Regions from separate parts of the Mus musculus genome. Here regions 1, 2, 4, 5, 6 and 7 are each reported to be linked to region 3. Evidence: microRNA targets listed by miRTarBase, many of them from high-throughput screens and not tested one by one. Region 3 holds a microRNA gene; each other region holds the end of a gene's coding sequence.

Evidence for each region. Region 3 holds the annotated microRNA mmu-miR-26a-5p (UUCAAGUAAUCCAGGAUAGGCU, at 1,897-1,918, shown strand). A microRNA usually pairs through its seed, bases 2 to 8, with sites in the 3' UTR of a target mRNA and lowers its output. Matches are read on the target gene's strand: a 7mer-m8 pairs with bases 2 to 8, a 7mer-A1 pairs with bases 2 to 7 and ends in A, and an 8mer does both.
Region 1: the mRNA of Mrfap1 is a reported target of mmu-miR-26a-5p. The part of its 3' UTR that is shown has no 7-base or 8-base seed match.
Region 2: the mRNA of Abca5 is a reported target of mmu-miR-26a-5p. Seed matches in the 3' UTR shown: 8mer at 3,412-3,419 and 7mer-A1 at 1,796-1,802.
Region 4: the mRNA of Spock2 is a reported target of mmu-miR-26a-5p. Seed matches in the 3' UTR shown: 8mer at 2,894-2,901.
Region 5: the mRNA of Fa2h is a reported target of mmu-miR-26a-5p. Seed matches in the 3' UTR shown: 8mer at 1,751-1,758.
Region 6: miRTarBase lists Hp1bp3 as a target of mmu-miR-26a-5p. Seed matches in the 3' UTR shown: 7mer-m8 at 2,703-2,709 and 7mer-A1 at 2,560-2,566.
Region 7: the mRNA of Mat2a is a reported target of mmu-miR-26a-5p. Seed matches in the 3' UTR shown: 8mer at 1,916-1,923.

What each region holds. Positions count from the first base shown.
Region 1 is chr5:36,792,668-36,797,031 of GRCm38, reverse strand. It overlaps Mrfap1 (Morf4 family associated protein 1), which reads left to right and starts at 278. Exons shown (of 2, transcript NM_026242.3): 1 at 278-829; 2 at 1,088-2,165. The coding sequence starts at 439. The coding sequence ends at 816.
Region 2 is chr11:110,268,942-110,273,305 of GRCm38, forward strand. It overlaps Abca5 (ATP-binding cassette, sub-family A (ABC1), member 5), which reads right to left. Exons shown (of 39, transcript NM_147219.2): 39 at 428-3,625. The coding sequence ends at 3,518. Among named protein-coding and RNA genes, the nearest start is that of Abca6, 19 kb to the left of the region's middle.
Region 3 is chr9:119,029,915-119,034,278 of GRCm38, forward strand. Mir26a-1 (microRNA 26a-1) reads left to right here and starts at 1,882; the gene lies at 1,882-1,971. It overlaps Ctdspl (CTD (carboxy-terminal domain, RNA polymerase II, polypeptide A) small phosphatase-like), which reads left to right. Exons shown (of 8, transcript NM_133710.3): 5 at 282-338; 6 at 3,622-3,714.
Region 4 is chr10:60,130,774-60,134,773 of GRCm38, forward strand. Spock2 (sparc/osteonectin, cwcv and kazal-like domains proteoglycan 2) reads left to right here. Exons shown (of 11, transcript NM_052994.2): 10 at 311-448; 11 at 563-3,141. The coding sequence ends at 708. Among named protein-coding and RNA genes, the nearest start is that of Mir6906, 6.0 kb to the left of the region's middle.
Region 5 is chr8:111,342,715-111,347,078 of GRCm38, reverse strand. Fa2h (fatty acid 2-hydroxylase) reads left to right here. Exons shown (of 7, transcript NM_178086.3): 7 at 558-1,941. The coding sequence ends at 637. Among named protein-coding and RNA genes, the nearest start is that of Mlkl, 6.7 kb to the right of the region's middle.
Region 6 is chr4:138,241,141-138,245,504 of GRCm38, reverse strand. It overlaps Hp1bp3 (heterochromatin protein 1, binding protein 3), which reads right to left. Exons shown (of 13, transcript NM_010470.3): 13 at 822-4,059. The coding sequence ends at 3,765. Among named protein-coding and RNA genes, the nearest start is that of Sh2d5, 7.1 kb to the left of the region's middle.
Region 7 is chr6:72,430,780-72,435,143 of GRCm38, reverse strand. It overlaps Mat2a (methionine adenosyltransferase II, alpha), which reads left to right. Exons shown (of 9, transcript NM_145569.5): 8 at 30-163; 9 at 749-2,348. The coding sequence ends at 851. Ggcx (gamma-glutamyl carboxylase) reads right to left here. Exons shown (of 15, transcript NM_019802.5): 15 at 4,038-4,364. Among named protein-coding and RNA genes, the nearest start is that of Particl, 5.7 kb to the left of the region's middle.

The DNA.
Region 1 (4,364 bases), not on the chromosome of region 3:
AAATAATTGAGTTCCAGGCCAGCCTTGGCTACAGCGTGAGGTCCTGTTTCAAAAAGTAAATAAATAAAATCGGAATAAGATACAGGAAGGGACGAACTTCGCATCACCCAGAGCAGCTGCAAAAGCTGCGAAAGGGAGGCCGACCTAATGTCAGCGCGCGGCCGCAGAGGCGCTCGCCCCGCCCCTTCGTGGACGCGAGCGCGCCCGCCCCTTTCAGCGCGGCCGTAAAGAGGGGGCGCGGAGGTGTCGTGAAAGGGGTCGCAAAGCGCCGAGCGCTGGTTGACGGTTGAGACTCCATTTTGTTCGTCGCTCGCCCGCTCGGCAGTCACTCGTCTCCGTGGCTTCTCCGAGGCGGAAAGTTGGACCGGCGGCGGAAGTTTTGAGGACTCGGCCCGAGCTCCGTCCGTGAGGGTCGTGCAGACGAGCAGAGCAGCGGCGATGCGGCCCCTGGACGCGGTGGAGCTGGCGGAGCCCGAGGAGGTGGAGGTGCTGGAGCCCGAGGAGGACTTCGAGCAGTTTCTGCTGCCCGTCATCCACGAGATGCGCGAGGACATCGCGTCGCTGACGCGCGAGCGCGGGCGCGCGCCGGCGCGCAACCGGGGCAAGCTGTGGGAGATGGACAATATGCTGATCCAGATCAAGACGCAGGTCGAGGCCTCCGAGGAGAGCGCCCTCAACCACCTGCAGGGTGCCGGCGGCGCCGAGCCCCGCGGCCCCCGGGCGGAGAAGGCCGACGAGAAGGCGCAGGAGATGGCGAAGATGGCCGAGATGCTGGTGCAGCTCGTGCGGCGGATAGAGAAGAGCGAGTCTTCGTGAGGAGCCGGCCGCGGTAAGGGCGGGAGCCTGGCGGGGCGTGGGCGACGGTGGGGGAGGAGGCTGGCTTGTCGCCTCGGGAGTAAACTAGGCCCCCCCTGGGGAAGGAGTAATAGCAAATCGTCGGCGGGGAGACCGTGGAAGTTTCCAGATGGTGCTGGAGAGCATGGGGCCCTAAGTGAGACAGCGTCCAGAAGGGGGCCGGGTATTTGCTTTGCTGTCCGGACAGCGTGATTAACCTCTCGGTGATGAATCTCTCCCGCCCGTGCCTTAGGTTTCCAGCCAATGGATTCTGGTTGAGTGATGGCGATTGGCTGACATGACACCCTGGAGAAGCTGAAACCAGAGAGCCTTTTGTTTTCCTTTTTTTTTTTTTTTATCTCCTTCTTATTTTTTTTTCTTTTCCCCTCTGTCTTCCCTCTGTTTCTCACTGACACTACGTTTCTGCTATGGTCTGCGGTTGACGACCTCGATATGAGTTTTTGATTATTCGGTGGTTCCTTTTTTTTGTTTGTTTGGGGGAAATAACTTTGATTTGGAAAATGCGCTCACATACGGGAATTAGGGCCTAGATTGTAAGCCCTGTGGCAGTTGAATAACGTTCATTCCTGGCCTTTGGTTGTTGTTCCTAAATTTTGAGGTGCTTTGCTCTTTCTTGGGTGACCTGATAGCTCCCTGAACTTTGAATCTCTGTGACACTTGAGACTCAGAGTTGAAGCTCACCGCCTCTGAAAGTTCTGAAGGAGCTGTGTTAATTCTCGAAGACTCCATGCAGCAATGGCAGAAGAGACCAGACTTCATCCGGGACAGTGGATGGGCCTTACATGGCTAGGACTGATGACCTGGGAGAAGGGTCGGAGGATAGTATTGTTTCTATTGGGGGACTTTAATTTCTGTGTGAGACCAAAGGAGGAGAGATGTATTTTGTGCAAAATTTAAATTTTATGTGCTACACTATCTATTGTAACCTGCCTGGTGAGTTTGTTGGGACAGCCTAACTCATTTCTAAAAGAAATGGAACCTCGGATGGGAGAAGAGGTCTTGTTAGTCTGTACAAGTTGGTATCCCCATATATTCGAGGAGATCCTGGCCATAAAATGAAAGATCCTTGCAATACCCTGTGTGGCCTAGGAAGGAAAACCTGCAATGGACCCAAAACTTAAAAGAAGAGGCGTCTTAAAGGTTCATATGTAGTCGAACTATAAATGTATGAGTGGCAGACCTGATAAGCGTTTGAGGTCAAAACCCTTACCATGTTGAAAACAAAATCTTACATGTTAATAAAAGTATTCGTTTGCTTGAAAAGATCAGCCCGGAGAGTTACTAAGAAATATTAAGTGAAGTCTTCCTTCAGTGGCCTGTGTTTAGTTTAAATGAACATTCTCCAGTTTTGGGAGTCTGGGTAAGCAGAAGGGGATTTCGACTGCTGTAGGAAACGTGAGAATAGGAAAGTCTTGATTCCTAGTAGCAAGTCCACAGTCTTAGCCTCTGAGACCAGTCCTTTTACTTGCCTTTTACTTGACTCCTGTTCTTTACCAGTCTTGATGATACAACAGCAACAATGTATTGACTCCCTTCAGACAAGAAGGGCTGGGTCCCCAACTGCTGGGATTGACCCTGTGTGGCCATCATCTCATTCCTAGGTGGCCAAAGTCTAGGGCCCTCCCTTTTAAGGACACCCCACCCTAGACATCTTAGAATTCTTGTGTCTGCTGAGGGAACTGCAGCCCAGCCTAACTTCTGACTGCTCTGCATGTTCCTATCCGGGAGTGACCATTGAACCTCACGTGTATGGTTCCTTCTTGGTACTGCTGAGGCACCAGCTTCTGGGCTCTTAACAGATGCAATTGCCTTAGAACATGGCAGGGGTAAGGAAGGCTTTCCAGAGTGTTGTTTTGATAAGCTTGGCCTTGGATGAGCACAACCTCAGAAGTCAGGAAGAATGGGATAGGCCAGGCACAGGGAAATGAGACCAGACACTGGTGTGGGTTCTAGTAGTGGGGCCAAAGGTCCAGTAAGAATGTGACTCAGGAGGTAACCAACAAGAAAAGGCCATGTTTGGCACATTGCTATGTACTTTATTCAGAATTTATTTGCCACAGATAAACCTTTACTGTCCCAATGTAGCATATCGCATTGGGTTGCTGATTTTAAAGTGATAATCAGGGCCACAGAGATGGCAAGCCTTCCACTAACCCTAAGGAACTAAGTTTGATCTCAGGGACCCACATGGTAGAAGTCAGGAACTGAGCCTTGAAAGTGGCCCTCTGACCTCAACATGCCTTACTGCAACCTGTGCCCCATCTATAAATATATATATTAAATTTTAAATGGCAAGAGAAATGGTTCAGCAGTTAAGGGCACTTGTTGCTCTTGAAGAGGACCCAAGTTCAGTCCCCAACACCCACATGGCAGCTCACAACTCTCTGTAGCCCTTGATTAAGAGGATTCAACACTCTTGAACGTCCAAGACACTGGCATGCATAGTACACATGCATGCAGGCAAACATACATAAACATAATCAAAAGGTTTTTTGTAAATAAGACAGTTCAAGATAGAAGTTCTCTCCTAAGCAATTGAATTATCTAACCTTACCAACATTACATATATTTTAACATATGGCTCCTCCTAGCTTCATCCTGGTTTTAGACAGGTTTTCATTGTATAGCTCAGGCTGGCCCCACTCTGGAGTCCCCTAAGAGTGCATCAGCTTTTGAGAAGAAACAATAACAACAACAAAAAACCCTGAAGCTTAACACCCCTCCCAACCACCCTTCTAAAACTAACTTGGAAGCTTCCCTGTGTGAACATCTATGTCTGTGTGGTTCCCTCTTTACAGAAAGGAGGTGTCGCCCACCTGGGGTGATGGGATGCTTGGCACAGACCCATGAAAGAGCCTCTGGTGAGCACAGCTCTGGCTTCTGAGCACTCGGCAGTAGAGGATGTTCTTGAAGAAAGCAGTTTTAATGTTGGTGGCCACGGCACAACACGGGGTGAGGGACACGTTAATGGATGTCTGGCTCCAGGAGAGGCCATCCTGACGAAGCAGGGGAACAGAAGACTCGAACTCTCCTGTCCTGCTCCCTATCCCAGGGTCTTTGGCAGGCACTGGTCTGTTGAGGTTCTCTGGGAGCTACGTTTCCCTGGGGTGGAGGACTATAGGCATTCAATGCTGCTCACACCTGGACTCTGTTCTCTACCCTCTGGGCATGCGGTAGGGTTGCACTTCCTGATCCCTGTGTTTCACTGGGACCATGTGAATGCTTCTAGAGCCTTTGAGCTATGAGGGAAGGTGACACCTGTCAGTCCAGCCAGATCCCCTTATGTGACATCCTCCAGAGTACGCTCTGCAGCCTAGCAGGGGCGCAGCAACAGTTGAGGGAGTGGTTGGGAGTCACCTTGTTCCTTTATAGTTCTTTGCCATTCTGTGCCTAACATGTAACACAAGTGAAGGAAATTGTTCTGTCCCTGAGATGGGACTGTGTCCTAGCGGTGTAATGTGGTGGTGGCAGCATAACCTTCACTAAGGTGGCCAGTGTAAATGCTTTCT
Region 2 (4,364 bases), not on the chromosome of region 3:
CAGAAATAAGATATTTTTTAAATGCAAACTTTAATTGTAATACTAAAAATAAAACACTTTTAAATAAATAATTTTGGAATTACCCCATTTCTGGTAATAGTCACCCTCCCCAGCACAGGGCTCTGCATGTAAATGGTAAATGGCTGTTGTAAGTTCTTTTGACTTTCAACTAGACAGAATGAGAAGAATATGTCCAGTGGCTCGCTAAGCAACAAGAGTCTCTTACTTTTTTTCTTGGTTATCTATTGTTGAATTTGAGTATGATTAAACTGCAGTTCCTCCCAATGTTTTCTTATCCCTTCATTTATGTGGGTCCTTAAGGGATATTACCATCTTAGGCACAGAGGACTGCTTCAAGTTTGAATTTAAGTCACACATCTAATTATGAACACTAAATGAATTTTGGTATACAAACTGAAGTCTGTCATAGATTTTTAGCTCTTAAAGTTTATTATTAATAATATAAGCACATTCATTTTTCTTAAAGGGCAGCATTGAGAATTGTACATATAACACATTATGAATAGAAAACAAGTAAATTTTTACCTTATAAGAATAGCTGATACAAAAATAATTCACCTGAGAATAAATTCTCTCACTTTATGTAATATGCTATTTCAAGGGGAAAGATGAGAACTCAATGTTAACAATATTAAAAATACATTAAGAAAAAGCATTTAAAAGCATTTGCTATTTAAAAAAAAAAAAGTCCTGCGTTTTGAATGCTACCTGAAAATGTAAGATGGCATTGTAACAAATGTGAAACGCACGATCGGAATGAGACGCTGAGTGACCAACAAAGAACCGGGAAACCAACACTCACCCTAGTAAAATTAACTGTGCTATTCATTTTCCTAGAAGATATTCTTAAGACTAGTAGCAAAGCATTGTCATATCATAACTGGTTATAAGTATCTATCCTTGTCTTAATAAAATGTAAGATCTTACAGAGCCGAACAGTTCATCCTTCTACCCAAAGAGCCCACTCTGAAACGCAGTCACTGGAAGGTGTGCTTAAAGTATCGAAACATGTTTTAACAGAGAAAACCAAAACTGGCTACAAATAATCTCTGACAAATTAAAGTTTTGGGGGAAAAAAAAGAACCCTGCTTTTTCCTAAGAACAGCATGGAAAGCAGGGAAGAGCCCACAGAAGGCAAACCTCCCAGAACGCTTTCCACTGCTTCCTCCTGACCGGCCCCTCTGCTGCAGACAGCAATGCCTTCAACTCGGCAGAGTCTGCCTTTGTTCTACTCTTACTGTTTGGCCACAGATGGAAAATATAAGGCAGGAAGGTGACGCTGCAGTTTGTTTTCATTTGTTGCTAACAAATACACTTGTTTCTTTACCTGTATTGAAAAGAAACAAAGTTCTGAAAGCAATAATTTAAGATAATTTAAAATAAATCCATGTATAAAACCAAACTATCCACTGTAATATGAATGAACACACAATATAGAAGACTAGACAGTGCAGTCTCGACTTTCATTCCCTAGGAAAATTATATTTTACACTGAGCACACACTGAGCAATGCTAATAGACAGTGACCAAGTCTATATGAGAAAGAAGGCGATATGGCCTGTGTTCACCATCTCTATGAGACAGTTCTGTCTTAGGAGGGCCAAACGCTTTTAAGACACAAATGAAACCTACCCTTTTCGGTAACTGTCCTAGTAAACTATAAATGCAGCTTGTTTGTTTGTTTTTAAGGGTATGTGTTCTAGGTTACAGAGTTACAAAAATCACATCCCCCCCAAAAAAAGGCCCAAGGTACTTAAATTCTAAAAGATAGCTCTTCAAGTTTACGGCACCATTTAGCAATGACTTGCTGAGAAAATACAATGTGCAATTTATAATTTATCAGCAAAAATAAAGATTTCATCTTAAATACATCTTGACTATATTGGTCATGCAGTAATCATTAATTAAATGATTAATTAAATGTAAGATCCTTAAAGGATCCAAAATTATAATTTGGTATCAGGAGGCAAGCTACTGCCAATGAAACCTTACAAGAACTTGGGGGAGGGGCGTGTCATAAAATCCAAGCAGACTTGTAGGATGGTTCTATTACATTAGAGTACCTCTGAGATACGAGACTACACAGATGCCTTTAGGAAGGTGGAAAGAAACTGTCAAAGCAATAGAGAAAGTTGCCAGCCATGTGCCACCTTGTACTGAGAAAGGAAAACTTGAATTAGCCACTAGTGCCTAAAGTCACACATTTTACTACCCAACAGGACTAAAAGTTCATTAAATCTTCCCAACATTAAATAATTAATAACTTCACTGAAAGCTTGACCATTGAAAGTTGGTAGCAAGCCCTCTGTTCTTGCTATTGTTCTTTACGTCTCTGATGCAAAAGTCACACCACAATATATGTTTTTACAAAGCTAACACATATACAACAGCCTGAAATACAGTATCAACTACATCATATACTTGTATACCTGTCCATATGAGTCATAAAATCAAATATTTCTAAGATTAATTATCATATTTCAACTCTGTCACAAGAGTGAAACTCTAATTTTTATTTCTTAATTTAACCCTTGAAAGAGCTCCTATATTCTACCATGTTCTGAGGTGACCTTTTAAAGGAAGGTATATGCTGACCTACTTAAAACTCAAGAGAGTCAAGGAATCAAATTTAGTAATAAAGATGGTTATCCATTAAATGTCTCATCTAAGAATAAACTTAAATGAGCCCTGTATGAGGAAAGGCAACAACGCGCTCTCTCCCAGCTCGCAGTCGGGTGTCTGGAGGGAAGTAGAGATGAACTGGCCACCTCGACAAACAGCTGTCACTGCACTTTCAGAGACCTGGACTCTTACATACTAAGACTCTAGTCAGAGTCTTTCTGTGAATAACGATCACCAAACACATTTGAATTTTAATGTAGACAAAAGACATACAACCTGAAACATTTAATTGCCCATATCTGCAGTCACTAGACTGCGGCTTCCCTTTATTTCCTGTGACCAACGACTGCCACCTAGTGGACGTTACTTCTCAACGGTTCCACATTTACACAGGCCAACTTCCACTAAGAGCTTCTTTTAGACATATCAAAGGGAAAGCCAGTTTCTGCATTGCTTTGTGTCTCTCTTCTATGTTATTAGTCAGGCACTGGTCTTTTTAATTAGCACTGGGAAATTACATAATTATGTAACATAGTATAAAATTTAAATATTATTCAGAATTATTCTTTTATTATTTCTTTAAATCCTAAGTTGAGAAATATTGTTTTTGTGAAACGTGAAGGTAGGCATATAGACTACCTTCAGATATAAACATGCACATGGACAATTACACGCAAATTTATTGAAAGAAAATCCAAACCATAACCATGGTGTGTTAATTAAGGACTTTAAGAAATTTCCAAGTGCTTTCATTTTTTTTAATAACTATTCAAGTAATAAGCTTTTAAAATCAAAGATAAGATAAAAGAAGAAAAAAATAGAATAAAAAAGAATAAACCAACTCAGGGTCGGTAGGCTGGGTGAGCATAAACATTCAAAATACTACTCTATCCTCCTGCGTCCTTTCCCACCAGAGAGTGCTGGCCAAAGTCCCACAGCTGTTATCTTCTTCCTCTTGCTCTTTAGTAAGTTCTACAAAAACCTAGGTAAAAGGAAGAAGGAAAAGTCAACTACTGTATCATTCAGAGGACTCTTAACTAAGTCAGAAACGATACAATGCCGTAACTAACATGTAACAAGTATCAAGGGATTTTCTAATATTGATGCTATTCAAACAAAGCAAGGTATGCCCAGTAGCTACAAAGACAAACACATATTTAGAGGGTTAATACATTTTCTGATTAATATATCAAGTAGTAGTGTCATAAAATAAATTAAAATTGTTTAAACAATTTCAAGTATTCTAATATAAAATAATGCCATGAGTCTTTTAAATATTTAATAAGATAAACAAAAGATGTTCAAGCTTAACAAAATTAAATGTACTTGAATTAACTGTTCAATAGTATACATATATATCAAACCATCGCACTGTAGTCAATAAATATAAATAATATGACTATTCAATTAAAGATGTTTTAAAATGGAACTGAACAAAAAACTAAGAGGAAGCTAAAGTTGCAATTCCAATTAAGTTATAATTTGAGGATGGTGAGATGGCTCAGCAGTACCTTTTATCAAGCCAAAGACCTGAGTTCAGTCACCAAGCCACATGGTTGAAAACTGACACCACTAAAATGTTGTGGCACTTGCACATCCACACATGAAACAAGTAAGTAAATGTACCTTAAGTCTATAGTTTTAAATGTCTATAATATGGGTTGGCGTCTACACTCTAAGCCTAAGCAATTGCTACGAGGTACAGTCAACTGTAACCTTTT
Region 3 (4,364 bases):
GAGCAGCCCCATTCTCTTGCCAGACTATGCCACCCTTTGCAGTTGAGGCAGGCAGGTGTCCAAGAGATTGGGCTAGATGCTGGAACTCCAGGACACTCAGGACAGGAAGAAATACTCCTTCCTACATGTTTATTTCAAGGACCCAAGGCCTCTGCCAGCATCCTTGTGAACTATTTCCTGCCATCGTCAAAACATTGGTCCAGGCAAGCTTCTTTCTTGCTACAATTTCCAATTTTCTCTTTCCTTTCATATGTATTAATCACAATTTCTTTTCTCTCTAGCCCATTAGTAATGCTGACTTCATTGTTCCTGTTGAAATCGACGGAACCATACACCAGGTAAGGAACCAGAGTTAGCCTGCAGTTCCAGAGAGCATTTTCTTGTAACCACACTCCCTGGGAACATCATTTTTTCAATTCTCACTTCAGTGGCCATTTTATTCTAACTTCAGGAAACAAACTTTGTATAATAAGTATAGTAAGCCAGGCATGGAGGCAGAGGCAGGCAGATCTCTTGAGTCTGAGGACAGCCTGGTCCACAAAGCGAGTCCTTGTACAGCCAGGGCTACACAGAGAAACCCTGTCTCAAAAGCTAAATAAAAATACTGTGAATGATTCTCTGCCTCATGCATGCATTTGCTTTTTACCGTGTTTATGAGGACCCTTTTCTGTTAATAAATATTAGGTATGATCTCTGATTTGATTTCAACTTTTAGGAGCCTTTGTGCAATCCCCTAGTTGTCCCCACCGCTGGCCGGGTTTGACATCTGGTCAACTTCATCATGCATTTGCTTTTGGCTTCTCCTAGCAACAGGAAAATGCCACCAGTCACCCACTGACGGAGCATTCTTGGGAAAAATGTCCACTTTGATGCCAACTGCTCCCGTGAGAGCTTCTCTGCCCATGTGGTTTTCTCCAGTGTCTTTTTTAGCAAATACTCAACCCAGAGCAAAGGGGAAGGGTGTGTTAAGACCAGCAGGGTGCTGTGCATAAATTGTCATCGTCAGCTGGCATCAATCTTCTTCCGGTTTTTGGGGTTTTCTGTTTTGGGGTTGTTTGTTTGTTTGTTTGTTTGGGGGAGTTGCTTCTTCTTTATTTTTTCTTCGTCATCAGCAAGCTCTTCTGGAAATGACTTCGTCTATGAATACATTAGAAACATGGTAGAAAAGCTCGCCTTGGAGGTTAAGGTAGATATAGTTTTGCCACATGTTTCTTAGGAGTGATGGGACAGACTGTCTCCCCCATCAAACTCAAGGCCTTAAGGGGAGAGTATCTGGCCTCATATCCCAGGAAGGGACAGACATTTCCTGGTTCCTGGGCCACACAGGATGTCATTTCTTAACGATGCCAATAAGGCTCCTTAACTCTTGAGTGCAGTTTAGAACAATCCAGGGCTGTGAAATCAGCTGTTTTAGCCATTCCGTTGCCCAGACAGAAGGTTATATATGACAATCATCAGGATAAGATTTCCTGACTCCTAAGCCAGGGCTCTTTCCTTAGACTTGGTTCCCCCTGTCTCCCTTACCCCCACCTAGCTCTCTATCCTGTCCTACAGGACATAGGACCTGGGAAGGTTTCAGGCACCTGGTCACTTACCATTCACAAAGCACCAACTGAATTAACTCCACCCCCGCCATGCAGTTAGGACCTCTGCGCTGGTTGTTGTGTCTAAAGTCGAAGAGTCCTTGAGGTGAGGCTCAGGAGGACTGCCCAAGAAAATAATTCTTCACACCACGTGGCCACAAGCACGTCCGGAGTGCAGGACCCACCCCGGCTTCCCTTGCCCCTTCTCTTTGGCAGTAGACACCCCGGGCATCAGGGCTGGGAGCAGAAACTCCAGAGAGAAGGAAGGTACAAAAGCTGGAGGACCGAGGCCCTGGCGAAGGCCGTGGCCTCGTTCAAGTAATCCAGGATAGGCTGTGCAGGTCCCAAGGGGCCTATTCTTGGTTACTTGCACGGGGACGCGGGCCTGGACGCCGGCATCTGGGCCCAGGAACCTCCTTTCTGCTAAAGGCGGCAACAACAGAGTTTCCCCCGTCCATCTCCAACCCTTTGCCTGTAGCCAAGCTTGCTGGCCAAGCAGTCCTCCCGGAGACTCAGGACCGGAGGCCACACCCAGTCACTGGCACCAGCAACAACGAGTGTTATGAGCAAAGCAGGTCCTGCAGCTGCTACAGCCACACAGCTCTGCCCTCAGCCTAGCCCAACACCCCAGCTCAGCAGGATCCTGGTGGCACCCAGGATAGACCACCTATATTCCTCTGGCCCCTCTCTCCACCCTCAGCTGCAGAGCCAGACCCCCAACCCACTCCTAAAGCTAGCCAGCCGCTTTCTCTCCAGGTCTTTGCCCTAGGAAGCGCCTTTTCCTGGCATGCTGCAAAGCAGTGTTTCCATCTAGGAAGTCTGTCCTGCAGTGTGTTTTCCTTGCATGGGGTGCAGTCTTGTGTCTCCTCTCCCTTTCCGCAGCCCCCTCCCCTGCTCTGTCTGCCCTTAGAGGCCCTGTGGCTTACTGCTACCTTTAGCTCTTTACCTTAACTGCTTCCTCCCTGAGCAGCCTCCAGGGCTTCTCTCACTGCCTATGGTTGGCTGTGGACACAGGCTTTGGCCCAACACAAACCCAAGTGTTGTGACGCTTCCGATCCTCACGTTCACACTTTGCTCGGGTTGGAGGCTCAGCTCTCTCTCTCTCTCAGCGTGTGAGCTCCTCTTTATTCAAGGTCAAGGCCAGATGTTGCTTTCTGAGACGCCCTCTGGAAGGGAGAATTATCTTGAATGAATACCCCACTGTGAGATTTCTTGTGTTCACTAATTTCTGTCAGTGTGTGCTCAAGACTGAGTGAGCTGAGCCGGCAAGGCCCACCACACGAGTCTCCAGAGGATTGGGGGCTCCAATTCAGCCTTGTAGCTGAACTGAGCACAGCGCTGAGACCTGGTAATTATGTTTTATTTTAAAGATGTAGCTAACTTCTAGTGGAATTTACTCAAGTTTTAATTGGTCCCTCCCTCTGCCCACTGCCTCTCCCTGGCTTTGCTTTCTCTCTTCCAGTTCCTACACATTCCTTTAGCCTCCAGAGACTGCAGCCTGGGTGTTAGGTGAAACCAGCTGCTTCGCAGGCCTGTCTGGTCTGATCAGAAGGATACACAGAGCCCAACTGTGGGAAGCAGCCCCTTACCCATGTGAAGTGCTTTCTGTACCCCTACACAAGCAGGGTGACCTCCATGGTGTCCACTAGAAAGTTTTCAAGTGCATTAACCCCAGGGGGCAGGGATGTTCAGAGTTGGAGGCCGCAGCTAGTCCTAGACTTCCAGAAGGACAGCACCTAGGCTGTGGCCTGTGGCCACATAGGGGCTGACTCAGCAAGTGCCAAGTGGATGCATGAGCAACTGCGACTGGACATGGCACAGCTGTGCTCTGCTTACTGGCTCCGAAGATACTCAAGAACCTTGACGACGTGGTCGGCTTTCCTTTCTCTCTACAAGGGTTGAGACGCAGAACCTAGTGCAAGCTTCAGTAAATCGTACATAGGCCTGGCAACAGGAGAAGGGCCCCTTGGCAGTTCTTCCAAGGCCCACGCTGTCCCTGGATGCTATGACTGACAGCTCTTGTCTCCTCCCACCGCAGGTGTATGTGCTGAAGCGACCTCACGTGGACGAGTTCCTCCAGAGGATGGGGCAGCTCTTTGAGTGTGTGCTCTTTACTGCCAGCTTGGCCAAGGTGCGTCCTTTTCGTCCTGCATCCTGTGTCCTGCATCCTGCGTCCTGTTCCCAGCCGTCATCCCAACCTCTCCACCCTCCACCACACCCCCCAAGCTGCCAAGAGCCCTTTGTTAAGGTGGAGGAAGCTATTTTTACGGTGACAGGTTCCCACCCCAGATGCGATAGATGCAGGCCATGTGCACACTGCTAGGCTGAGAGGTTTCTGGTTACCATGGTGACTGGGAGCATTTGGAACAAATGCTCCATGAAGTTGCTTTATGCAGCCACCTGAAACCAGTTATCCACAGACAAAACCACAAGACCCGTCCATTGTGACTGTGGATGGATGCAGGTGTGGGGGAGTCTCCCTCACGCATTGAAGAGCAGCCAGATTTTAGAGTCCCTGTGTCCCCGTGTTTGATGGCCACAGGTTTCAGGGAGGAACAAGTTAAGAGGCAGGTGTCAAGTGTCACTGGCAGGCACAGAATGTTGGGAGTTCTGATAGCCTTGGGAGCTGAATGGTTTCTGGTAAATTCCTTTACCTCTGGCACATTGGTTTCTTCTTGTCTAATTGGGGATAATTCCATCTGCCTGTTAGAGTTCATTAAATGAAATGGCCCATGTGAACGGCTCAGCACAGCCCCAGATTCCCATCAAGCAGACGTTCAT
Region 4 (4,000 bases), not on the chromosome of region 3:
GAGAAACTCCACATTCCTAGCTGGAGACAAAACCAAGAATAGGATCGAGCTTTCTAACATGTGGGGCCAGACTGTCCTACAAGATGAAGGCCATGACACCAGCACTTGATAGCATCCTTGAAGAAGCCTGAGCATGTGACACAGGGACATTGGGGAAGGAAGCTTTGTGCTTCCAGTCAGTAGCCCTGAGTGTCTGGTTTCTTAGGGGGTGGGTATCAGTACCAAGCTGGCCAGGTTCTCAGGCCATCGAGGCCCCTGCTCGCACACGACTCCAGAGCCCACACTACGGGCTCTTTGCCCTAACCCTCAGGTGTCTTCATCCCGAGCTGTGATGAAGATGGCTACTACCGGAAGATGCAGTGTGACCAGAGCAGAGGTGACTGCTGGTGTGTGGACCAGCTGGGCCTGGAGCTGACCGGCACACGCATGCATGGGACCCCTGACTGTGGTAAGGAGCATGCGGCTAGTTCTCAGGGTGGCGTACGTGGGGCAGGACTCCAGGCTCAGAAAGTAGACACAGTGTGTGGGTTCCTTACCGGCCTTTCGTGTGCTTTCCCAACAGATGACATCGTGGGTTTCTCCGGGGACTTTGGAAGCGGCGTTGGCTGGGAGGATGAGGAAGAAAAGGAGACAGAAGAGGCAGGGGAGGAGGCCGAGGAGGAGGAGGGTGAGGCGGGTGAGGCAGATGATGGAGGCTACATCTGGTAGATAGCCCTCGACGGCCTCGGCAGGCCAGGGTGCCGACGGCCAGAAAGACAGGCCAGAAGAGACCTGGACAACAGCAGGCAACTTAGCAAATGGATCCGGAAGTCAGTGCGGAGGACCCTGGCTCCAGTGGGGGAGGACTGGGGAGTGTGGCTTGTGTGTATGTGTGATATGAGATGTGTGTGTATGATGTGAGATGTGAGTGTGTGATGTGAGATGTGTGTATGTGAGATGTGTGTGTGTGTGTGTGTGTGTGTGATGTGAGTCACCCAAAGGTCCCTATGTTATTGATTTTCAAATGCACACTTTCACACACAAGGATACACTAACAGACCAAAATCAATGAGATGTCCCTGATCCTGCCCCTCAGCCCAACACCTGGAATCCCTGCCCTGCCTAATCAGCCCTACCCCATCCTGCCTTTCTTCCTTCCTCTTCTGAGGCCAGGGAGAGGGAGGGAGGGCAGGCAGCTGAAAGCTGAGCGTCCTCCCCAAATTGGGCTGATTTGATATGAAAGCCCCACCACGGTCTTGTGGTGATGAGGCAGGACCTGTACACACAGCAAGGCTTACTATCCGTCTCCTGACATCCGAAGAGCTCGTCGCAGGTGTGTCTAATGGCCCTTGGGCTGCACGTGGTTAAGCATAGCTGTCTCTGTGGCCCAACACAAAGAGGTAAACTTACTTAAAACACAGGGGTTTTGTTGCTGTTTGTTTTTTGTTAGTTTGTTTGTTGATAATTGGATTGAGGAGTTAATCCTCTGTCACAATGTCAAAAGCATGGACATCCCTGATAGATTATCTCTCAACCTAGTCCCGAGTAACCAGAGATAGCTCAGCAGAAGAGGCAGAAATCATGAGACAGAGGACAATGGGTCCCTTGATTTCAGGCCTCAGATTAACCCAGTCAGCACCTGTGGCCTCATGGGGCTCTGGGCTGCTTTCTTGGCGAATGGGGACTGTCATCATATAGCTGAGATTTGGAGTAGCCTGCTATGAGGGCTTGCAGTTGCACTCTCTGTTCCCTGGCGAGGGTCCCCCTTGTCCCAAGGAGCAGAGGACCAGCAAGCAGCCCGTGTCTGCTCACCTTCTCCCTGACCCTCTAGGAAATGGTTCCCTCTTGCCCCGACCAATAGAAGGGCGTGTCCCCGAGACCCTTGTGAGGAACCACGGGGAGCTGTGACTTCCTGTGCCCAGAAGGTCCTGGAGGAGAGGCCCCAAAGCCTTAGTCCTCTCAGCCATGACTTTCCTCTGTCTCAAGGGTCCCCAAGATGGCCCTAGAAGAACCATGCCCCAGACTCTATTTAAAGCCCTATAGCATATATGAATAGAGAACGGTGTATCTATCAGAGGGGACCACACTGAGCAGCTAGGCCCTGATGCCATGCCTCAGCACGCCCTCAGACCTCCAGGCCGGGTGGAAGGGGCTTTTACCCAGATGTCCTGTGGGGTTTTGTGTGTCTATTGCTCCCCACTTCCCCCTCTCAAAGGAAATTTCCTTGATATATTTGATGAAGAATTCCTTACCTGGGCCTCTGATACCCTTTGGTACGCGTACGTGTGTGTGGCGCGTATACGTGTGTGTGTGTGTGTGTGTGTGTGTGTGTGTGTGTGTGTGTGAGAGAGAGAGAGAGAGAGAGAGAGAGAGAGAGAGAGAAAGAGAGAGAGAATGAGAGAGAATGAGAGAGAGAATACCCGAGGGCCACCCTGATGCCCAGGAAGAGTGAGGGCAGCCCCCTGTGTGGTGGAAGAGGCTGGGCAGCTAGCTACTGGGGACCTTGTGCTGAGGCTTCCAGGACAAAGCCCCAGTCTGGCTCTCCCCCAGCCTCTCAGGGGCACTGGCTGGTCACATCCACTGAGTATTGATCGGTTGGACTTTAGGGAAGAGCCTCCTCCTTCCCATTCCTTTCTGCCACCCTGGAATGGCCACCTTAATCGTCATCTCCTCGGGGGGAATACGGAAATGTCACCAAGCTCCATAAAGTGCTTCTCATTCCACGACACAGTTCTGACTCTCCGGGTGACTGTCACCTGCTCCCATCCTCTTCTTCCTCCCTCCCTTCCTCAGACCTCTGCAACCATCCTCTGGTCCCTGGCTCAGTCACATCAGCCCTCTGCATTCTAGAAGCAGCCATCCCGCCCCCCTCTCTCCTCCCCCTCCTCCCCTTCCTCCTCCCTCCAGCTGGAGTTACTTGAAACTTCCTGCTCTCGCTAGGATGGAGTCTGATTCTTTCTCTGCCCCAGCTGGATTTCCAGAACATCCCCGGGTAGCTGTGAAGGATTTTAGGCTCTCTGGGGTGGGGAGGGGGTGGTGTAGAGGAAGACGCATCCCCTTCTTTCACCCTGCCCCGCCCTGCCCCGCTGGGGAGCTATGCTCTGTGTGTCCCTGGATCTTCTGGTTTTGTATCTGATGTAGTAAACATGTTTTAGTAAGAAAGCAGAAGGCGTGGAACTGTGGCAGGCCCCAGGGGTCCAGAAGTTTGTCCCTCTCTAAAACGCTCCCCACCCCATACTGCTTTTCACCCCACTGAGACCGAGTCCCACAAAGGTAGGCAGAACAGCTGTTCCTGGTGGGGCTGAAGGTTCCCAAGTAGCTTCTAGTTAAGCAAGCTTCGTGTTTCCTCAGGAGCAAGGTCACACAGGTCAGATTATTGTCGGTCCTGCGGGCCTCATCCTTGAATAAGCTGCCTGCCCAGTTCCTCCATCCGTGTTCCTGCCTGCTCCCGTTCCCTTGTTGCGGGCAGGAGAGGTAGGGCTGTGTTGGAAAGAGTTCAACCAAATTACGGCAGCACCACATCTTGCCGAGCCCTGGAGCTGCCCTACTAAGAGCCTCCTTAGCCCTGGGTGCTGGGAAGGATGGTGTACGTTGGGGAAGTTTGAGGTTGGAGAGAGTAAATGTGCCTTGAGAGACCACTCAGAGGTCCCAGGAGGAACGGGGGCGGGGCTTAGCCTGGGAGTTCTGGCAGGAGGCAAAGTTGGTGAGAGTCCTGGGACATCTTACCCCCAGTGTTCCACAGGAGTCGTGACCACGTGTGATGGGTGGGCACAGGTCTGCCTTGCTCCAGCCCCCTCCCTTGGTTTCTGTTGGTACCCATTTGGCTTTTATCTGCTTTCTGCTTCACCACTAAGTGCGTAGGTGGGGTCTTTTGATATCGGCTCCCCAAAGCCCAAGCCCACAGCCCTAGGAGAGAACCAGGGGCCCATCTTTGACACCTGGGCCATCACGAGCCCTCCCGCCTGCAGTTGTCCTAGGGAAAGACCTGGGGGTGCAAAAGGAGATTCAAGACATCCGTACC
Region 5 (4,364 bases), not on the chromosome of region 3:
TTAATAATAATACAGGTTCACCAATATAAGTTGCTTCAAACATACTTCTGAGTTGTCCAGTAACTGAGTCAAATGTTTGAGTTCACATCAAAACTTAAAATAATTTGAATTGAATGAAATCAGAAATGAGTTCCTCTGAAGATCCTAGCCACACTCCCAGGACTCATTAGTCAAGTGATTCTTGTACCTGACATATATTCATGCTGACATATAAAGCCCACATAATGTAATTCAAGAAACAGGTCTCCGCAGCAGTCACTGGAGCCGAGCCCAAATGAAAAGAAGGTAGTGTCTGATGTCTGGGAAGCTGGAATTCCAGGAACAACTCCCTGGGATAGGGATGGAGTTGTCCCAGCAAGGAAGAGAGGGAAGCTGGAGGGGGGAAACCTGGGAACACAGGTAGGGCCAGGCCAACCCAGAAACAGGACAAACACAGGTAGGTATTTGGTCCTTGGTCCCTGGCTGCTGGTTCTTTCCTAGCTCGCCTTCCCCAGGTAAATGTCTTTCTTCTCTTCGACCAGCACCTCATCCTCTATCCCGTTTGTCTCCCTCTGCAGGGTTTGGCATCAGCACTAAACTGTGGGATTACTTTTTCCACACCCTCATTCCAGAGGAAGCCCACCCGAAGATGCAGTGACAACCCCTAGACCCTCTGTTCTGCCCTCGGTCTATCCCCAGACCCCACCCATGTCCTACCCCCCACCTCCACCTAGACCTGCTGAGGTCAGCTTGGCCAGGCATGACGGGCTCTGTCTAGCCCTGGGGCCTGGTGGAGACCTGAAAGCAGGGCTTCCCTTCCGGCTTCCTGTGTGAGGATAGCATCCTCTTGATAGCCGTGGCCCTTGGGGACTGGCTCATTCCCAGAGAATGATGGCCTCCCCGTTGGCATTCCTGCCTAAGCTTCAGCCCTCAGTGCTGTTTCAGGGTCCAGACATTGGCCCCAAGGGGCATGAAGGAAACTGACCCCACCTGTGCCTTAGAACCCTGGGCTCCCTGGGGGCTTCCCCATGCAGCAGAGGGACCGGTGTCACAGCAGAAGCATGGCATGCAGGCCTGTGGCCACATCGTATTCTCCTGTCCTTTCTTGGGAGAGTTTGATGATTCAGAAGTAAATGAAGGGCTATTCCAAGAAGAAACAGCATGATGCCTCCCACAGGCCATTCCCAGACCCCAGGACAGCCACTATGGGCCCTGCCAACCCCAGATACCAGCTGTACTATCAGCTGCGGAAGTAATCCAGTACTTGTCTGCCTGGGCAGAAAGCACAAGGGTGCCTGGCATCCTCTGCAAGGCTGACAGGAGCCCTGGCCCTTGTCTTTGGGGATCAGCAGTGGCTTTCTCTGTCTCCTCTCTCCCTGCCCAAACCACAAAACCGCTCCCCAACAGAGGCTGGAGAAGTCTACGTTGGTGAGAGCCCCAGCCTAGCCCCGGTCATACTTGGCCTCCATCTGCACAGGTAGAAACCTGCCCCACTCAGGACCCTCCCAGAAGTGCCTCCTGAAGCCAAGAAGGGACTTGTATGTGGTGCCTTATCACCCACCCTCTCCCACCCAGACTGTCCTTCCTTGTAACCAGAGCCCTCACTGCTCCTGAGTCTTATTTATAAGCTACATAAATATTTTTAATCTGGCCCCAAATGAAGTAGCTGGTCAGATGGCCCTTTCTAATCCTATGTATTGAGCTTATGTAAAAGACAAAAAAAAATCATCTTGCCTTCCTTTTTGTTCCTTTCTTACCCACAAGCGATTACTACTTGAAACTTATCAAAAACCCAATGGGTGCAAAGACTAAAGAGAGGCAGTGTGACCAGTCTATGATTTGTACTGTTTACGGTGAAGCTATCTAGAGATTTTTGGGATAAATATACAAAACTGCACTTGTGAAATAAAGATGTAAATAAATTGTATATTTTGAAAAATAAAACATTGAGAAGAAACCAGCAAAGACCCATTGGTGTTTGTTGATGGTGACTGGACTCCATTATCACTAGGAAGGAGGGACACTGACTGGTCTAGAAGGAGGAAGATGTTATCACTCTGAGCAAGTTGTACCCAGTTTCTGGACAATGGGATAATAAAAAGCTGACAGGCTGGGTATGGTCATAGTATATGCCTTTAATCCCAGCAGAGGCAGAAGCAGGTGGATGTGTTGAGTTCAGTGCCTGCCTAGTCTACAAAGTTCCAGGACAGCAAGGGCTACACAGAGAAATCCCATCTCAAACAACAAACAATGAAAAACCAAAAAGTTCCCCCATCCCTCAATACCTACCCACTGCCCACAGTTCCTCAGTATAAACTCTAGCCCGGCAATCATCTATGCTGGGATTTTGGCTAACTTGATCTTGGATAGGTCTTACACAGGTGACCACAGCTACTGTGAGGTCATGATTTCAATAACATATAAAAAAAAGTAGTAAAAATAAAAATTAAAAAAACAATAAACATATAAAACATGTAAACATAAAAAAGACAGCATCTCCCAGCATTCCTCATTCTCTATGCCTCCTCTTCTGTGATGTTTCCTGAACACAGTGATGTGGAGTTAATATAGACACTCTGGGGCTAGAGAGATGGCTCTGTGGTTAAGAGCATTGATTGCTCTTCTTAAGGTCCTGAGTTCTAATCCCAGCAACCACATGGTGGCTCACAACCATCTGTAATGAGAACTGATGCCCTCTTCTGGGATGTCTGAAGACAGCTACAGTGTACTCACATACATACATACATACATACATACATACATACATACATGCATTTAAGAAAAATAATACATTTCTGTTTTAGTCCCAGGTGTAGGACATGGGGCTGCTTCAGACTTCAGACTGTCCACAGCAGCTGACTATGTTACCTCTTGCTGTAGCAGGGGCGCCATTTTGACAGTGGCAGACAGTTCTCAGCGATCGTGTGACTCTGGGAATTTGGGGGACTCTTCAGAGAGTATATAAACGCTAGGGCCCCAAGAGCTGGATGTCTTTTTTTTTTAAGGTAGTCTTGTGCAAAGAAGAAACAAGAACAAGAAGAAACTAGATATCCTGAAGAGCAAACTTGTCCCCCAAAAACTTGATACCCCTACGCAGCAGAAAGTACTCTAACAGTAAAGATGTCGGTTTTCCCAATCTATCCTTTTTTTCTCTCCTATCTAGTGTTAGGAGGTTGAAACAGTGGAAGAAATGGGTTGGAGAAGGGTGGAAGAAAAAAAGAACCCACCAATAGCAAAGGCAGGCTACAGGGGGTAGCCAAAGGCAATAAATAGCATTTAAACAATCTATCCAACCTCAGCAGAAATTCAAGAAAGCATGTTCAAAAGAACTCATTAAATTCTGATCAGAGCAAAGCAAATACACACATTGTCTCTTATTGATCTAGCAATTGTTCTTGCCTGAGCACCTAGCGCCAGCCAGGTGTTAGCACTCCCCAGACCACTGGGTCTTTGGGTGGCGGGAGGAACTACCCCTCAGTTCTGTTCTATTGCATTCTTTCTTTAGCTCTGAACTCTGATCTCTGCTTTGTACTTTGTATCCTTTTGCCTTGTGCACAGAACAATAAGCTACATGTAGCAAAGCCCAGTATAAGTAAGTCAGCCTTGTCTCCGTCAGATCTGCCTAGGAACAGTTGGGTTTTTGCCTTCTGGTCCCTGGACTCTGCTGCCCTCTGGTGACAGCATGCAGCCCCGCCTTGTTAGGGCAGTCTTCAGAGTTCCTGTTTAGAAACCATGCTTGTGTGATTAGTTTTAAAACTTCCCGTCTTGTTCTCTGGTCTAACTTCCCTGTCTTATCTACTGTTTGGGGAGGAAATGAATACTCTCGTGTGGATTTCCAAACAGCCGCAGTGGCTGGAATTTCCCTCACAGGTATTCTGCCCAATGAATGAGTTGAATCTATAATGCATATTTCAGAATAAGTGTAATCCTTGGGAAATGCTGGAGCTCCTATCTTCATCCCACACACACAGAAAGCTAACACAAAAGAGGGGATCCCAGCTTCTCCTAGGCTCTGTGGAATACAAAACCTCCAACAAGAACAACAGTGAAGATGACACAGGACACGATTGAGAGGTAAGAAACAGTGGTTGGGGGAGGGTTAACTTTGAGAAGCATCAGAGAAACACGCCAGGTTCATTTACTTGAAGACAAGACACCAGAGTCTTTATACACTAGTCAGTCCCTTCCCCCATTAGCTTAAGATTCTCTTTGAGGGCATCACCTGTCTTTATTTATAGCCACCCCTGCCATCCATCTGTCTTAGTCCATTTTGTGTAGCTATAACAAAATGCCTGAGAGTCGGTACTTTATTAAGAAAAGAGGTTTATGTCACTGACTGTTTTGGAGGCTGAAAGTCCAAGGTTGAATGGCCCCATCTGTTTGGT
Region 6 (4,364 bases), not on the chromosome of region 3:
TATACTATAGAATTTGATTTTCTACCCATAAAATGGAGAATGCCTAGGTACGTGATAACACAGCACAAAGCCAGCATATAAACACTGGTACTATTATAGAAATTTCTATTCAGGGGTTCGGTATGTGCTCTTCCAAAAGCTCAGGTAGTTGGGAGGTGGCAGAACCTTTAAAAGGTAGCAGTCTGGTGGGAGGAAGTTAATTAGGAGGTGTGCCCTGCCCTGCCCTGCCCGATCACTGAGAGCCTAAGCTGTGAGGCTTTGGATGAGAACCCCCACAGGCCCATATATTTGAATATCTGCTCCCCAGGTGGTAGAACTGTTTGGGAAGGATTAGGAGGTGCGACATAGCTGAAGGTTTGTCATCAGGGTCTGCTTTGAGGTTTCAAAAGCCTATGCTACTCACACTGAGTGCTCTGCTTTGTGCTAGTGGATCAAGATGTGAGCTCTCCCCAGCACTTGGGAGGCAGAGGCAGAGGCAGGTGGATTACCAAGTTTGAGGCCAGCCTGGTCTGCAAAGTCAGTTCCAGGAGAGCCAGGGTTACACAGAGAAACCCTGTCTTGGGGGGAGGGGGGTGGTGAGCTCTCAGCCACTGCTCCAGTGGCTGCTGTCATGCTCTCTGCCATGGTGATCCTGGACCCTCTGAAACCATTGAGGCTCAAATTAAACAATTTCTAAGTTGCCTTGGTCATGGTGTTCTATGACAGGAATTTAACAGTAAGGCACAAATTAATGCCTTTCCTCCTTAGAGATTATTTCTATTTTGTTACAGCAAGAGAAAGCTAAGTAACAAGTTTACATAACAATTAATGGACAAGCCAAGTTTATATCCAAGGGTTACATTTATTTAGATCTTGTTTTTCCATAAATTACTCAAACTATTGTCAACAGACATGATGCAAACAGCTCCCACTGCTGCCTTGACAGGCATGGGCCACCAAGCCTGTCCTTTCTGGGGTGTATACAGGACTCGATTTCCTGCAGTTATGCTCATGTGGACTAGGTCTAACCTGTGCTAATAAACTTTGCCTTTATCACATTACTACGGAATAAAGTAATAATGAGTCTCTGAGAATACAAGTTAAGCCAACCACCTTGCTTCCAGCATCTTCAGAGACTCATTTTTCAACCACTTTGGAGCAGGCGACTTCAGAGTCTATGAAAGACTATTAAACCAGACAGACCATTAGGCCAGACACCCACCTCCTGCGTTTTCTCTTCTCATTTAACACAAAAGTAAAGTCTGTAAATGTCTTCTGCAGAGTGCACAGATGAAAACAGAAATCAAAAGCCTCTCTGTCAGGTATGAAAGTGTATGTGTTGGACAGCTGGGCCTTTGGAGCTGAGTGATCCAGTCTTTACCTTTCCTGGGACGTTAAAGCAGACTGTCCTACCCTAAACTTTTGTTAAGGCGCATTCAGAGCAGAGAGAGAGACCTTACATGACCCCAGCTTCTCATAGTACAAGTTACAGTGTCTGATGTATGGGGCAGGGGCCAGCTGAGCAGTCAGCAAACCTCTGTACAAGCAATACTGTATAACACAGAAAAACCGACCTGCAATTTTTGATTCCATAAGAGCAGAGAATTGTTGGCTCAGGTAGCTAACAATACCCTATGAGTAACCAGTCCCTGGCACACATATGAGGAATTCAAGCTTTCTAGAGAGAGAGATCTCTGTGGTGGGCTACTGTCTGTAACTGTGCTGTCATTTTTTTCCCCAGTCTAACCTGAATTTTGTATGTTAATTAAAAACAAAAAACTAGGCTCTTATGATGTTGAGAAAAGTTTTTCAATAAAGATGACTCCTCCCTCCCTCCCTCCCTCCCCCACCCCCTCTTTCTTTCAGACAGGGTTTCTCTGGCTGTCACTCACTCTAAAGACCAGGGTAGCCTTGAACTCAGAGATCAGCCTGCTTCTGACTCCTAAGTGCCAGGACTAAAGGTGTATGCCACCACAGCCTCAAGATGACTCTCTTAAAAAACAAGTTTGCTTTTATTTTATGTTCATTGGTGCTTTGTCTGCAAGTATGTCTGTGTGAGAGTGTCAGAAACCCTGGAACTGAAGTTAGAGGCAAATATGAGCTACCATATGGATGCTGGGAACTGAACCCAGGTCCTCTGTTAGAGCAGACAGTGCTCTTAATGCTGAGCCATCTCTCCAGCCCCTAAGATGACTCTTTGGTGGAATCTGACTCCCTCTTCTGGTGTGTCTGAAGACAGCTACAGTGTACTCATATATATAAAATAAATGACCATCAAAGTAAGAACTCAAAAGAAAAAGGAAGCCATGGTATCCCTTGCAGGAGGAGAGATTGCAGGACAGGTACTGGAAACTTTTCACTAAGCTGTAGTTCAGCAGCTTTTAAAAGTTCATGTTTATTCATATTTTTCAAAATATTTGTACATAAAAAAGGAAGATTTACAACAGGAAAGACTGCCTTCCATGCAACACAAATCCCAGTGACTCACGATGGGACCTCACAGGTAGGAGCCACCAATTCAAGCCCAAGCCTTAAGTCCATTTCCCAGCCATACGCAGCTGTGGGGATCCCAGGAGACACTTCAAGTGGAATGAATCTCAAACAAACACCTTCTCCTCTGGCAGCATGTAAGGGGCCAGAGGATATATACATCAAAAAGCTTAAGACAATTAAAATATTAAGTGCCACAAGGAAGAATAAATGATAAGCAGAAACTGTAGTTCTCAAGTAAGAAGCTAGTACTATTTTACACAACCTCACAACCCTAAACAAATACAAACAAGAAGAGGGCTGGGTAGTACAGCTTCATCTGCTTCTCCCCCACCCCTTCTCTGTTAAAATATCTCAAAAAGGAAACCGTTTGCCTGATATCAAAAGTTCTATGGAAAGAACAGGGTGGGATGGGAGTGGGGGGCACACGCACAGGTGAATCTGAAAACTGGTCATTTTAGCAAATTATGTTTTACCATTTAACATTTCTACATTAGTAATGGGAACTCTCAAACAGGGACAACTCATGCCCCAAATATTAAAAATATATCTAGACATTTGATCAAGAATATTCTGTCATTTTTGGTAATAAGCAACACCAGAAATCAGATTCCATGTAGTCCTGTACTTCCCCTTCAGTCAGAAACCAAGTGGTGCAGACAACTTGTGCTTGCTGTGAGGGGACAGTGCTCTGGGCAGCAAAGCGAGCTTGGCAGTTGGTCAGCGTGACCGGAGGAGAGGAGCCCTTCAGAATCTATGGGATGGCAGGGACGGGGGCTTCTTTCCGAAGTTAACATGTCCCCGACTCAAGCTGGAGACTGGTCAGTGGAGTGATTCAACAGCCAGGGTTAATCACCACAGCTCTAGCAAGTCTGCAGGCAGGACGCAAAGCCTTCCCAACACTGCTCCTGCGCCGTCTGGACTTCCAGCCCCAGACCTCTAAGTGCTCTACAAACACATCTCTGCAGTTGTTTAAATTAACTTGAAGGAGGAAAAAATCCTCAATCGGATCACAGAAAGAGGACGAGGGCTGGGGCTAAGATGAACAGAGGGAGCAGGGCAGTCACACAGTCAGCGAAGTCCAGGTTATGGCAGAAATTAAGGTGATGAAGAAGCAGGCACTGAACAGCACCGAAGCTCACAAATGTCTACGCTGCTCTGTGTCCATTCCTTCCCACAATGCTCACATGGGAAGAAAAAGTACAATTTAAAAGCATTATAACTAGAACAAATGCACACTGACCTTATAAAGTAAGATTCTGAATTCAATCATGATACCCTTTTCCCTATAAAATTTACTTTTTTGTCTTGAAAGACTTCTTCATGGCAGATTTGCCCTTCCCGGGCAGTTTCGCTTCCTTTCGTGCACTGGCTATGGGCTTTCTGGAGGAGCTCCCACTAGGCTTCTTGATGACTGAGGGAGAGGGTCTGGCTTTCCTGGCAGGGGTCTTGGCCTTGGGTGGAGCTTTCTTAGGCAGCGGCCTCACTTTCCCTCTCTGGGCAGCCGGGACTTTCCGCGCAGGCTTCGACCCTCTCTGCTTCATGGAGGCTGTCTTCCCTTGGGACTTGGCTGGTGTTTTCTTCTGTAAGCTGTGAGAACACAAGAATAAATGTATCACTGAGTACAGGAGAAAGCCATTTGCTAGGACAATCTCCTTCTGCTTAAAGAAATCACTTACATAGAAATCACTATGTTAAAAACAAAAACTTAGCTGGGCGTGGTGGCGCACGCCTTTAATCCCAGCACTCGGGAGGCAGAGGCAGGCGGATTTCTGAGTTCCAGGCCAGCCTGGTCTACAGAGTGAGTTCCAGGACAGCCAAGGCTACACCCTGTCTCGAAAAACAAAACAAACAAAAAAATCCCAAAAAAACAAAAAACAAAAAAAATTTGCCTT
Region 7 (4,364 bases), not on the chromosome of region 3:
TTTTATAACAATGTATTTCTGACTTTTAGGTCTCTTATGCTATTGGAGTTTCTCATCCATTGTCGATCTCCATTTTCCATTATGGCACTTCTCAGAAGAGTGAGAGAGAGCTATTAGAAATTGTAAAGAAGAATTTTGATCTTCGCCCTGGGGTCATTGTCAGGTAAAGATGGTAAAACCTATTGCTAGTGAGATAGGGGTTTGGGACATATATACTAAAATCTGAGGAGATAGAGGTAGACTTCTCGTGAGGGGAAACAAATTTTAATTCCTAGAACATGCCAATATTTTAAATTGTCTTCAGACAGGGATCTAGCTGATTAAGTTAGTGTTCTGTGACTTAAAATAACATTCTAGAAAGTTCTCCATCTTTGATTCTGAGCTTTGTGCTTATCTTAACTAAGGGTGCTACATTAAGAATAAGCTAAAGTGGGATGCTCAAAGTTACAAAGAAAATAACCATAGTGGTCAGTGATTGGACCTTGGTAAGTATTCAATTGGAATTCCTGAGAATGATAAGTTTTCATTTGTCAAGCCAGAGCTGGAAAACAAGAACTGTAGTTACTATTAATAAAAACTGCAAGTAACACAAGGGAAGTAACAAATACTTTCGCCATGAACTTTTTTCCTAGCAAACCCCAGGGAGAACTGAACTCATTTGCCAGAACTCTTGAAATGAGTCTTGCTGATTGTTTTGCTCTGTTTTAATTTAATGCTACATATTAAGTTATGGACTTGTATATTCCAGGGATCTGGATCTGAAGAAGCCAATTTATCAGAGGACTGCAGCCTATGGCCACTTTGGTAGGGACAGCTTCCCATGGGAAGTGCCCAAAAAGCTTAAATATTGAAAGTGTTAGCCTTTTTTCCCCAGACTTGTTGGCGTAGGTTACAGAGAAGCCTTCAAGCTCTGAGGGAAAGGGCCTTCTTCCTAAATTTTTCTGTCCTCTTTCAGCTCCTGATCAGTTGCAGTCACTCTAATCAATGACATGAATTTTAGCTTTTGTGGGGGACTGTAAGTTGGGCTTGCTATTCTGTCCCTAGGTGTTTTGTTCACCATTATAATGGATATAGTGAGCATAGGTGAGCCATGTAACTGCCTAGAAACAAACACTGTAGTGAATAATGCTTTGAAATCGAACCTTTGTGCCCTATCACCTAATCCTCCAAAGTCCTAATTGCAATTACTTTCCCACCAGATGCTGAAAACATCCTTGTAGTGTGCACGTAAAGTACTTGTAGTTTGACTGTAGACTCTGGCAATGCCACAGCCCTGTCAGCATGAATCTGTAACGTCTTGAGCTCTATTTATTGAATGTGAAGCCCCTGTCCTTATCCTCCCTGTAACTCATTTCTAATTATGTAGTTCTTTATCAGGGAGTGTTCCTATCCAATCAATCTTGCATGAAACGAAAGTTTCAGTTGGAGCTCTAGCCTGACTTTGAAAAAAAAAAAAAAAAAGGCAGTTACGATTAAACCATCTCCCTGGTGCTTATGCTATTAATTGCCACCTCAAACAGCACCAAATCAAAATCTCTCCACTTTTCAGCTGTCTTTGGAGGACGTACGTAATAAGGTTTTATTTAGTAAACCAACCCTATGCATGGTTTCAGCACTAGCCAAACCTCACCAACTTTTAGTCTAGAAAAACAGGCATTTGGCACCCTTGTGATATACAGAGAAGTCACAGGGCAGTACCTGAGGGTCTGTAGGTTGCACACTTTGGTACCAGGTAACTTTTTTTTCTTTATAAGAAAGAGTACTCCACACTGCACAATAGCTCCTCCCAGGGTTTTAACTTTGTTTTATTTTCAAAACCAGGTCCAATGAGCTTTCTGAACAGCTGGTGTAGCTACAGAGAAACCAGCTTCCTTCAGAGAGCAGTGCTTTTGGCGGGGAGGAGGAAATCCCTTCATACTTGAACATTTTCTAATTGCTTATTTATTGTATTCTGGGGTATGGCGTAAGTACAGAGAAGCCATCACCTCAGATGGCAGCTTTTAAAAGATTTTTTTTTTTCTTCAACACCATGAATTCCTTTAACATGTTTCCAGCATTCCCAGGTAGGCCAAGGTGTCCTACAGAAAAACCTTGGGTTAGACCTACAGGGGGTCTGGCTGGTGTTAACAGAAGGGAGGGCAGAGCTGGTGCAGCTGGCCATGGAGAAAGCTGACTTGGCTGGTGTGGTACAGAGAAGCCAGCTTGTTTACATGCTTATTCCATGACTGCTTGCCCTAAGCAAGAAAGTGCCTTTCAGGATCTATTTTTTGGAGGTTTATTACGTATGTCTGGTTCTCAATTCCAACAGTTTAATGAAGATCTAAATAAAATGCTAGGTTCTACCCAAACTGTGTCTATTACTTGTCCATTGTTGCTTTCTGAGCTAAAATTTATAGCATCTGCTACCCATTGCCAGCAATAAAGTTTTCAACCAGGACTACGATAAAAGCTTAGTGATTTAGAAAGCCTGGCTTATACTGTGCATGCACCACGGTTTATGGAGGTCAGGATTTTTATTCACACTTGGAGATCCGTCCTGGGAAATCAACACTGTCTGAAGGCTTTGGCAATTAAGTGCTGCCTTTTGGATGGCAGAAGCAAGCAGAACAGGGGTCAAGAGGCTTCTGTGATGGCAGGAATTTAGTCTATATGCTAGATAGGTATTTTACTCTTTCTTGGCACTAAAAACATTTAAGAGTTGGTTTTTCAAGTCCTGGAACCCTGTAGACCAGGCTGGCCTCAGATCCGCCTGCCTTTGCCTCCCCAAGTGCTGGGATTAAAGGCATGCGCCACCACTGCCTGGCCATTTAAGAGACTTTAAGATGAGACTAATTTCATAGACATGTAGCTTTAATTCATAGCAATCAGAAACCCTGCTATGGTGTTAATGTTACACAAAATGTATTGATTTTCTTTGCCTGGTGGTGATGGCAGCTTGTTCCTTTAATCCTCCCACTTGGGAGGCAAAGATAGACATAGTTAAATTGCTGGTAGTCTCCAGAATGGCTCATGTATCCATCCAATTATTCAAGAATAGCAAGTCCTTATCTCAAGTTTTTAGAGGCTTGCTTGCTCAAGACAAAAATGACAAATTGCCCACTGGCAAGAACAGGACAATTAGGAACTTGAGATCCTCAGCTACATAATTTATATTTGGGGGTGTCCTGGGGTGAGACCATCTCAAAAGTGCTCTACCACATAGATGTGCTTGTGAGATCTTAAAAGCTAGCTTGAGCCCTCAATCTTAAGGAGGTCCTGAGAAATACTAGGTACATAAACACTTAACTAGGCCAGTGAGAAGAGAAGGAAATATGGGCAAGCAGGAAGTGTACTCGAGATAGGTGGAGTACTAAATAGGGTCTTGCTTCCCCTGCACTGTCCCTAAACTGAGCCTCTGCTGAAACTATAGATGCATACCAGTGCCCAGTTTATTTGGTAAGACTTACTGCATGGGAGACTATGTTACCAACTGAACCCCCATTTCTAGTCCCAAGCAGCTTAACTACTACTGAGCTCATCTCCACTTAATTCACTCTTAAATCAACATGGAAGGAGCATCGCGTGAACCTTGGGTTCATAAGCACTGCAAAAGTTTGAAAAGGACACCCCCCCCCCTCCTTACTACTCAGGGCTGACCGTTTAAGGACATAATGCCAGGTTGTATTTCATCAGAGCTCCCCGAGCCAACCCCTCTGGCCCATTGTATGCATTAAGCTAGATTTTTGGTTCTCCATTCTCAGACCTAACCTGTGCAATTGACCCTACCCTGGTCTTATCCCTAACTAGATTTCAAAATAAAGGGTGAAGGGATAGAGTGATAGTAGAGATAAAAATAGGATGAATAGAAGGAAGATGTGATGGAGTTGGACAAATACAAGAAAGCAGAAAACCTCAAGGCTTATGACTCAGCAATGGCTTAGAGAGTTACCATTCACTAAGCTGATTTATGCAAAAGTAAGCCATCTGGCTTCCCTATTTAGTAGTGCTATTCTGATGCCAAAGATGCTGAGCAACTTGCTGGCTACAAATAGGAATAAGTAAATTGTAAATTAAAATCTACCTTGTGCATTTGTTAGTACCTGGTCACCCTAGTCACTTGGCATTAACATAAGTTGTAAGCTATAATTCTTCAGCTTTAGTGTTGGTGGGTCTGAAAATTACAAGCAGCAGGATACAGGACCTTAAATCTAACAGATTTCAAATTGTCAACTCCCAGATGCCTTTGGGTAAATTTTGTCTTCCTTTCTTCAAAGGTAAAGGCCAATGCTTCTTAAAGTACTAAGTATGTTAATTCAGGTACACTGCTTCAAATGGTACCAAGCACATAGCAAGCACAATGAATTCAGCTACATTCACTGTGGTGT